2 linked regions of the Kluyveromyces lactis genome follow. The protein of the gene in region 2 purifies or fractionates together with the protein of the main gene of each other region. This does not show direct contact. Links are inferred from orthologs where the notes say so. Each region holds a gene or a part of one and is shown on either strand. Other genes may lie near its edges.

Region 1 (2,661 bases), on a different chromosome or scaffold from region 2:
GGCACACCTTTGAAAGATCAATCTATACCAATCTTGACGAAGGAACTCGAATCACAATCGCAATCACAATCACAACCAGAATCATCACAAAAGGCTAGTATCGTAAATCTTAGTACCGGTGCCGCCGAAACTCCAAACCCTTCACCAGCTAAAAGATCGATCTCGCAGCTTGTCTCAGAAGCTGCAACCACAGTTGGAAAGGAGAAGCTCAAACGCAGGGTTCAACCTACTCTCGTCACATCAGATCAACCTAAATAGAACTAGATTAGTTTATAGAGAGGGAGATGGCGGAATAACACGTGACTTTGAACTGTTCTCTACGCAATAATTACTGTGTATAGTAGTAAGTAATAATCGCCGAGTTAAGATTCGAGACACCAGCCGATTGCCTTATTGCCAAGCCCGTGACAAGAATCAGGGTGTTGGCAGTTCTAGGAGGTAGAAACAGAAAGGTCTGGGAAACAATATAGAAACAAAATAGGAAATGCAAAAAAATGGTTAGTCACGTGATCAACATTTCTCTCTGGAAAGACATCTAGCTGTAAAGGACACACTCTAGCATGTAATTGAGAATGGATTTCATTTACTGGTATATGTACGATTTATAGATATCTACACAATTGTACCTATCATTTCAGTAGAGACTGTAGGTATTCACTGTTTTCCACCTTTAGTTCCATACTCTTTCTTGCCTGCCATACCATTAATCTCTTTCTTTCTTCTATGGAAAGATCGTTGGGATTCAAGTTTGAAAGATCTTCTTGTGGATCCACGTTGAATTTTTTTAGCAGATTGTCAGCTTTAATGTTGGATCTTTTCCGTGGATCTGTAGATGTGCTATTGTTGTTTGTATTGTTTCCTGTAGTTACAGAGCTTCCGGTCGATTGATTTTGACCATTGGAAGAATTGCCACCTGTTTCAGATTCTGGGACGTAATCTGGTGGGAATGGCATATCTCTACCCGAGAGATATCTTTCTACAGTAGTTTCAACTGATCCGGTTTGTTCCAAGTCGTATCTGATCTGTTCTGGATGTAGATGTGGAGCCAAGGATTGTACCACTTCGATCATATCATCGTTGACTCTACGACGAATACGCCTTCTAGTCTGTCTTGAAGCGGCATTACTTGACGCGGCGGTACCTGAAGCCGTGGCAGAGTCTGATTGCGAAGAAAAACCATTGATTTGGATGGATGGATGTTGTTCGTTATTGCTCAAAAACCATTTCACAGCAATATAACCGGCAATAGCCAAAATGATAAATAATGTGAAACTTTGATCCGCCATGATTAAAGTTTTAATTCAGATACTCTATCTAACACAATAATTTCTGTCTGCTCTCAATATATTGCTGTGATATTAATTATTCTGGAGACAGGAAAACACAGTATGCCTGGTTATGGAGCAAATACTTGTCTTGTTACAGTTTTTACTTGTGAATGATAATTAATATCATTCATTTCTTATTAAAGAGAAAAATTGTGTAAACGACCTGTAAAGGAAAAAAATGTTAAAGAGCAGAAGGACGTGTGTACAGCTTGCTGTGCAATCTGTCCTTTTCACTGCAGTGCATATAATCAGCGTATAGAACGCTAGTTCCAAATAGATTTCCGTTGATATCCTTGATTATTACGTTCTATATTATTCATATATGTTACAAATAGATGAAGCCATTAGGCTGATGTCGAATTACATGCCCAAGATGGAAGTGAGCTATGCAACACCACCGCTTCATCCCTTAAACTCCATTCTGAACTTCTTTTTCTGATTTTGTACTTTGTAAATAAACTGAGGAAGGCATTCCGCTTCTCGAACGGTATAGTTATCGAAGTGTTCCCTGACACCTTTCGCAAGCTCCTGCTTCGTAACCCTTGCATCTGGTACATTTTTCTGGTTTCGTTTCGCCGAGTAAGTATGTTTCCCAATCCTTGATCCTAGAAGGTACCCTTGTATTGATAGATTATCTGGAGATTTCAATTGGAACCTATCCTTATACCGCCTTAAAAATTCATCGGAGTATTGTTCGAAATCCATCGGATTTGGGAGCGGCTCATTCTTCGGATGATTGTTATGTATATGTTTCTTGTTCAAGTCCTTCAAGTATTGCTGTTGAGCACTCGAGAGTCTTTGTTTCACACTGGTCCTGGTCGATGCACCTGAAGTTGCATTGTTCGATGATTTGCCCTTAGATTCGGACTCTGAATTTGAGTTATTGTGTCCCCTTGGTGCCATGTCGTGTAAGATCCTTGTGACTGTACAGCACCCACTCTATTTGACACCTGAGATGGTATGGAGCAGTACATGGTAATGCCCTTTACCACCTGGACAAATGTTCAAAAAGATCAAAATTTTGTACTTAAGACACTTTTTTTTCTTAGATAAGTGGGAATAACTTGGAATTAGATATAGAGGATGACTACATTAAACAAAGAACATACATGCAGTCCCTGCGTCTCATCTCATTTACGTAAGAATCTATTGAAGTTTTGTAATACCGTGTCCATCGCCTTAGTCCTGGAAATGCCGTGAGCTCTTGAAATGGCGTCAAGAACGGAATCTAGCATCTGTCGTTGCTCTTGCGACGACACTGAATCCACAGAACAATCTGTCTCTGTCAAAATACACTGCAAGGGCAAACTCTTCAACAGCTCAGCACCAGAAT
Region 2 (4,418 bases):
TCCATCTCTTCAGCAATAAAGAAAATAAATCTTACGGCAAAAATCCCAAAATACCCAAAGCCAGCTTTTTCGATCAATTTGCATCTAAATAGCTACATATCCTGTTTTCCATCATTTTACTTCCCAGTCGTAAGTAATAAATTTTAATGGTAAGACTAGATAAAATAATTCATTGAATAAAAAAATTTCGCTAATAAATCTATAAAGACATCTTGACTGATCAAACTATTCTTCAAAGTTTTTTAGTATCCTTCCTCTTGCATACACTTCGTCTCTCACACTTTGAGATAAAGAATTGTAAAGCGACTTGGATAAAATTGAGCTCACAGTTAGGAACGCCGAGGAAATCGTCACTACATCAACGTAGTAGAATGCCTTTTGAAATGTAGTCATAAGGGAATGATCTGCCGAGACAGAAGGCTGTATGAAAATGAAATAAACAAATGGTGCCCATGAAGAGGTGTAAACTTGTTTGTGGGTAAGGAATTCAAACATAGAAAAACTATATTGCAGAGCAAAAGGTACCGCAATCATTGCAACGAGGTACACAAAGCATATATCCGTGACCCTAATGAGTAATCTTCTGAATCCTAATGTTTTATTCCGCTTCAAACTGCACTGTACCGCGATGTACGCCACTGCTGCTACTTGACAAAACAATAGAGCAGCTATTAATGAGTAAGCTGAATAGCCGCTGTATTCTGATTTTGATGCGAGGTTCGAAAGGAATGGAACAAACGATATATCAGGGCTTGTGTTTTCGAGAACGTCGCCTTTCCAGTAGAAATCTTTGAAGTAGGTGAATATGAAGACCGAATGATAATTGATATTCAACTTGAAAATGATTGGCATAAAGTAGAATGTAAAGACTGGATACACCATTGTTACAAAGCCTTTGATCAAGTTCCAAACATCACCTTCAGCAATTTCCGGTACTCTAAATTCATTGGCTACTGGATTTTCATCATTTTCGGGAATATTATCATCATTGTGAACTATATGCTGATGATTATCGTCGTTTGGACCGTTATTTGGAACATCCCCATTGTGTTCGGCATTAACCTCCAATATTCTGTCATTTAGATGGATATTATTTAATAGATGTGCGTGGTAGGATGACAAAGCGAGAGACAAAAGTATCATACCAGAAGAAACGGAAAGAAGATTTAATGGTTTTACACTTTCATAGAGTTCATTTTGAAATTTCATTGCTGGGGGGATAACCGCATTCAACAATAATTGCAATCCAGTGATAATGGGAAGCCCAGCAAAATTTGAGATTAATAACACAGCAGTAAACAAAAGGGAAGCAAAGATCCATATGAAGACAATTAACAGCGAATAAGTGAAAGTAAAATGCGGAGGGACATAAACTACCTTATATTCATCAAATTCCGTGGGCTGTTTTTCTAGGTAGCCAAATTCTCCGGCATTTCGTTTCTGTCTTTCTTTGATTTTTTCGATATCCAATGGCTTTAGAAGTTTGTCATCCTTAGTAACTGGGACGAACAACAATTGTGCATATTTTTTTGATATTATGTCGCTCGCAGGTACGCGCATCATGGTGCCATCGGGGACAAAATATGCGTGAACATCAGGAATAGTTTTGAAAAGAGTATAGGTTTCATCGAGCGATTTTGGATGAGAGTATAATTCTAGGTTGGACAGTTTTGCCTTGTTTGGGACGAACCATTTATAGTAAAAGTTCCTATAAATAACATGTCCTCTCTCAGTTGGTGAATCTTTTCCTAAGATGAAAGAGGAAAGTCTTAGTTTTCTGCAGCATATATTGAATACAAAGACCCAATATTGTCTAACATAAGCATCAATAACTCTATTCTTCGAGAGAATGAGATACGTTCCAGCAATGACTGCAATAGAAAACATAGAATTTGGTTTTATGAGAGTTGACAATCCATGCTTCATAGGTAAAAGTTCCGAATGTAAAATGTAAGGAAACAAAAGTCTCGTATGAAATCCAAAACCTACTAAAATGAATGCTGTATAGATTGCCATCGACAATGCAAGTCTGGAGAGTTGAAGTTTCATTGGGTATATCAAAGAATCCTGTAATAGCTTAATATTAGGATCATCTGGTGATCTTATGAAGAAAAGAACACCCGGTCTGATAATATATTGTCTTACCATGCCGACATATTGAGCAAAATGATACATATAAACAGTACCAATCGCCCAATAAATAATAAATGTCATAGGCGGCCAAAAGGAACAAAAACTCGGTACGAAAGTCAAGCTGCTCTGTGGTAATAATAGCGGTGAGATCAGTGACACATCAATCAAAAACCCCGCTAAAATCGGAAATCCGGCAAGTTCAAGTGTAAACAACCCTAGCACTTTCAATGTGCACTTGATGATATAGGAAAACTTGAAAATCGTTCTTTTCAAAGAATTCTTTAGAGGTAGCTTCTTGGAATGCCCTCTAGATAACAGTTCTGGTATACAGCAACAAAGAACTATGAAAGTCGCATATGTACTGGCTGGCGCCAACATTCGTACCAGCATCGTATGTTTTGCTGTGCCTTTCATGTATCCCTGATAGTACGATACTATTGGCATTAAAACTGTCCCATTAATCCAATTTTCAACGTAGGATACCAAAGAAAAAGTTTCTATAAGCTTTTGATTGTATTCTGGGATATTTAACCTCTCTGCTGACACTATTACTCCATTCAGCATTATAATCACAACTCTAAAATAAATGAAATTCAACAGATATCCGACAAGTGTGGCTAAAGCGTATGAAATGAAAAGATATCCACCAATGACAGAAAAGACTAAGGAAAAGTAGCTCGGTAAATATTTGTAATCAAGATTTAAATTCAAGATAGCCGTAGGTTGACCATCTTCATTCTCTAGTACAACCGCTGGTTGAGCATTTATTCCATCTTCTTGTACTTCTCCTTCAACAGGCTGAGGTCGTCCGAGTTGAGCATCCAACCGCCCATCGAGTTCTCTTTGTGCAAAGTGTCTTTCCATAATGGATTGTGAATTAAAAGTACAGTCGATTAATAACTCAGCTAATTGGTAATGATATGAATATGTTGCAGAAGAAATATGATATTGTGATCAGAAGAAAAGAGTAATGCAGGGATCTAATGCGGAAAACTCAAGTTGAAGATTCAGTTTCTATGATATAATTATTCAACTTCAACAGCTATACAATTGTAGCAAAGATTAAATATTGTTAACCTGTTGTACTTAGTTGTGAAACGAGATCAGTCGACGATGTATATACTGATTGTCTGCGCCCATGTTGAAATTTCCTTCTTCAAATTTCAATTTCCATTATAAGCCGGGTAATACCAAATTCATCTTTGAGAATCTAATGGGCTAGCATGTTTTACTAAAGCAAGTGAATGATTTGATGGGACAACGAGGGAATTATATTGTATATAGAAGTTTATTTCGAACTGGAGTGAAGGCTGATGCAATGTTTCAATATGAAGATTATCAATATCGTAAATATTTAAATGGGGGATTATAGTTAGTTGGCAAGCTGAGGCTCATCATTATTTTCGTTTACGATGAAATTGTTCTGTTCTTGTTCGTCTTCTGAAGTATCATCTTCATTTGGATCGTCTTGTCGTTGTCTATTGAGGGCATTTATGAGCATGCTTATATCATTTGGATCCATATTTGGAAATCTTTCTCTTAATGACTGCATGGCCAGCTCTTGTTTTGAAAATCTTGGTCCAATCTTATGCAAGATCATCTTATTGAAAATTGGCTCTCTGACTACCATATCATATTGTAAATATGCGATAGCATGCACGATCAAAACCATCAGAATTTGTAACAACGAAAATCTGTAATTTATCACTAGTTGATATAAAATATCCGTAGTTGTTGGATTTTTTGGTATGTTTCTTTCAAAGCCATAAATCAAATTGATATACCATTTGTTATTTGAAGGAAATGAAAAATCATCCACAGTAGCCGTATATAGCTTCCCCCAGATATTCCAGGACAGGGGAATTCCAATGAAGAAAAGGAACGCAATCAATGTGAATTTGAAATAGTGATTTAATTTGCCAAAGATTTTGAAAACGCTATGTTTCAGAAGAAGTAGAAGTGGGATCTTCTCTGGCATTGATTCATCATACAAAGTTTGGAACGCGATTGGATGATTACAAATCGAACATACCATCCCTGCACCAGGTTTTGTAACATCGACATGTTTTGACTGTAGCCATTCGATCAAACATAATTGATGAATATATTTGATGGAGCCTTTGCACTTGCATGGATGGAACAACGGATTATCGGACGTTCCTTCCAGCATACAAATACGGCAAGTTGGAAAATTCCCCGCATGCTTATCTTCGTAGTTGTGGTCTCCACCATTCATACTGGATGACATTTTTTATCAATTAGTAAACCGGTACTGCGAAGTTCAA

Evidence for each region.
Region 1: the proteins of SSM4 (region 2) and CUE1 purify together in Saccharomyces cerevisiae (affinity purification with western blotting; 5 studies listed by BioGRID, with this or other methods). This does not show direct contact. The link is inferred for Kluyveromyces lactis from reciprocal best matches to the Saccharomyces cerevisiae genes SSM4 and CUE1.

Annotation. Positions count from the first base shown.
Region 1 is NC_006041.1:984,893-987,553, forward strand, and holds CUE1 (Cue1p), read right to left. Parts: upstream 1,287-2,661; coding exon 630-1,286; downstream 1-629. Other genes in the region: CAC2 (Cac2p), read left to right, coding at 1-258; SAP30 (Sap30p), read right to left, coding at 1,731-2,231; KLLA0_E11243g (putative endodeoxyribonuclease), read right to left, coding at 2,459-2,661. UniProt on the Saccharomyces cerevisiae protein: Component of the endoplasmic reticulum-associated protein degradation (ERAD) pathway.
Region 2 is NC_006042.1:2,566,065-2,570,482, forward strand, and holds SSM4 (E3 ubiquitin-protein ligase SSM4), read right to left. Parts: upstream 2,998-4,418; coding exon 226-2,997; downstream 1-225. Other genes in the region: SUMO protease ULP2, read left to right, coding at 1-92; KLLA0_F27709g (uncharacterized protein), read right to left, coding at 3,506-4,381. UniProt on the Saccharomyces cerevisiae protein: E3 ubiquitin-protein ligase which accepts ubiquitin specifically from endoplasmic reticulum-associated UBC6 and UBC7 E2 ligases, and transfers it to substrates promoting their degradation.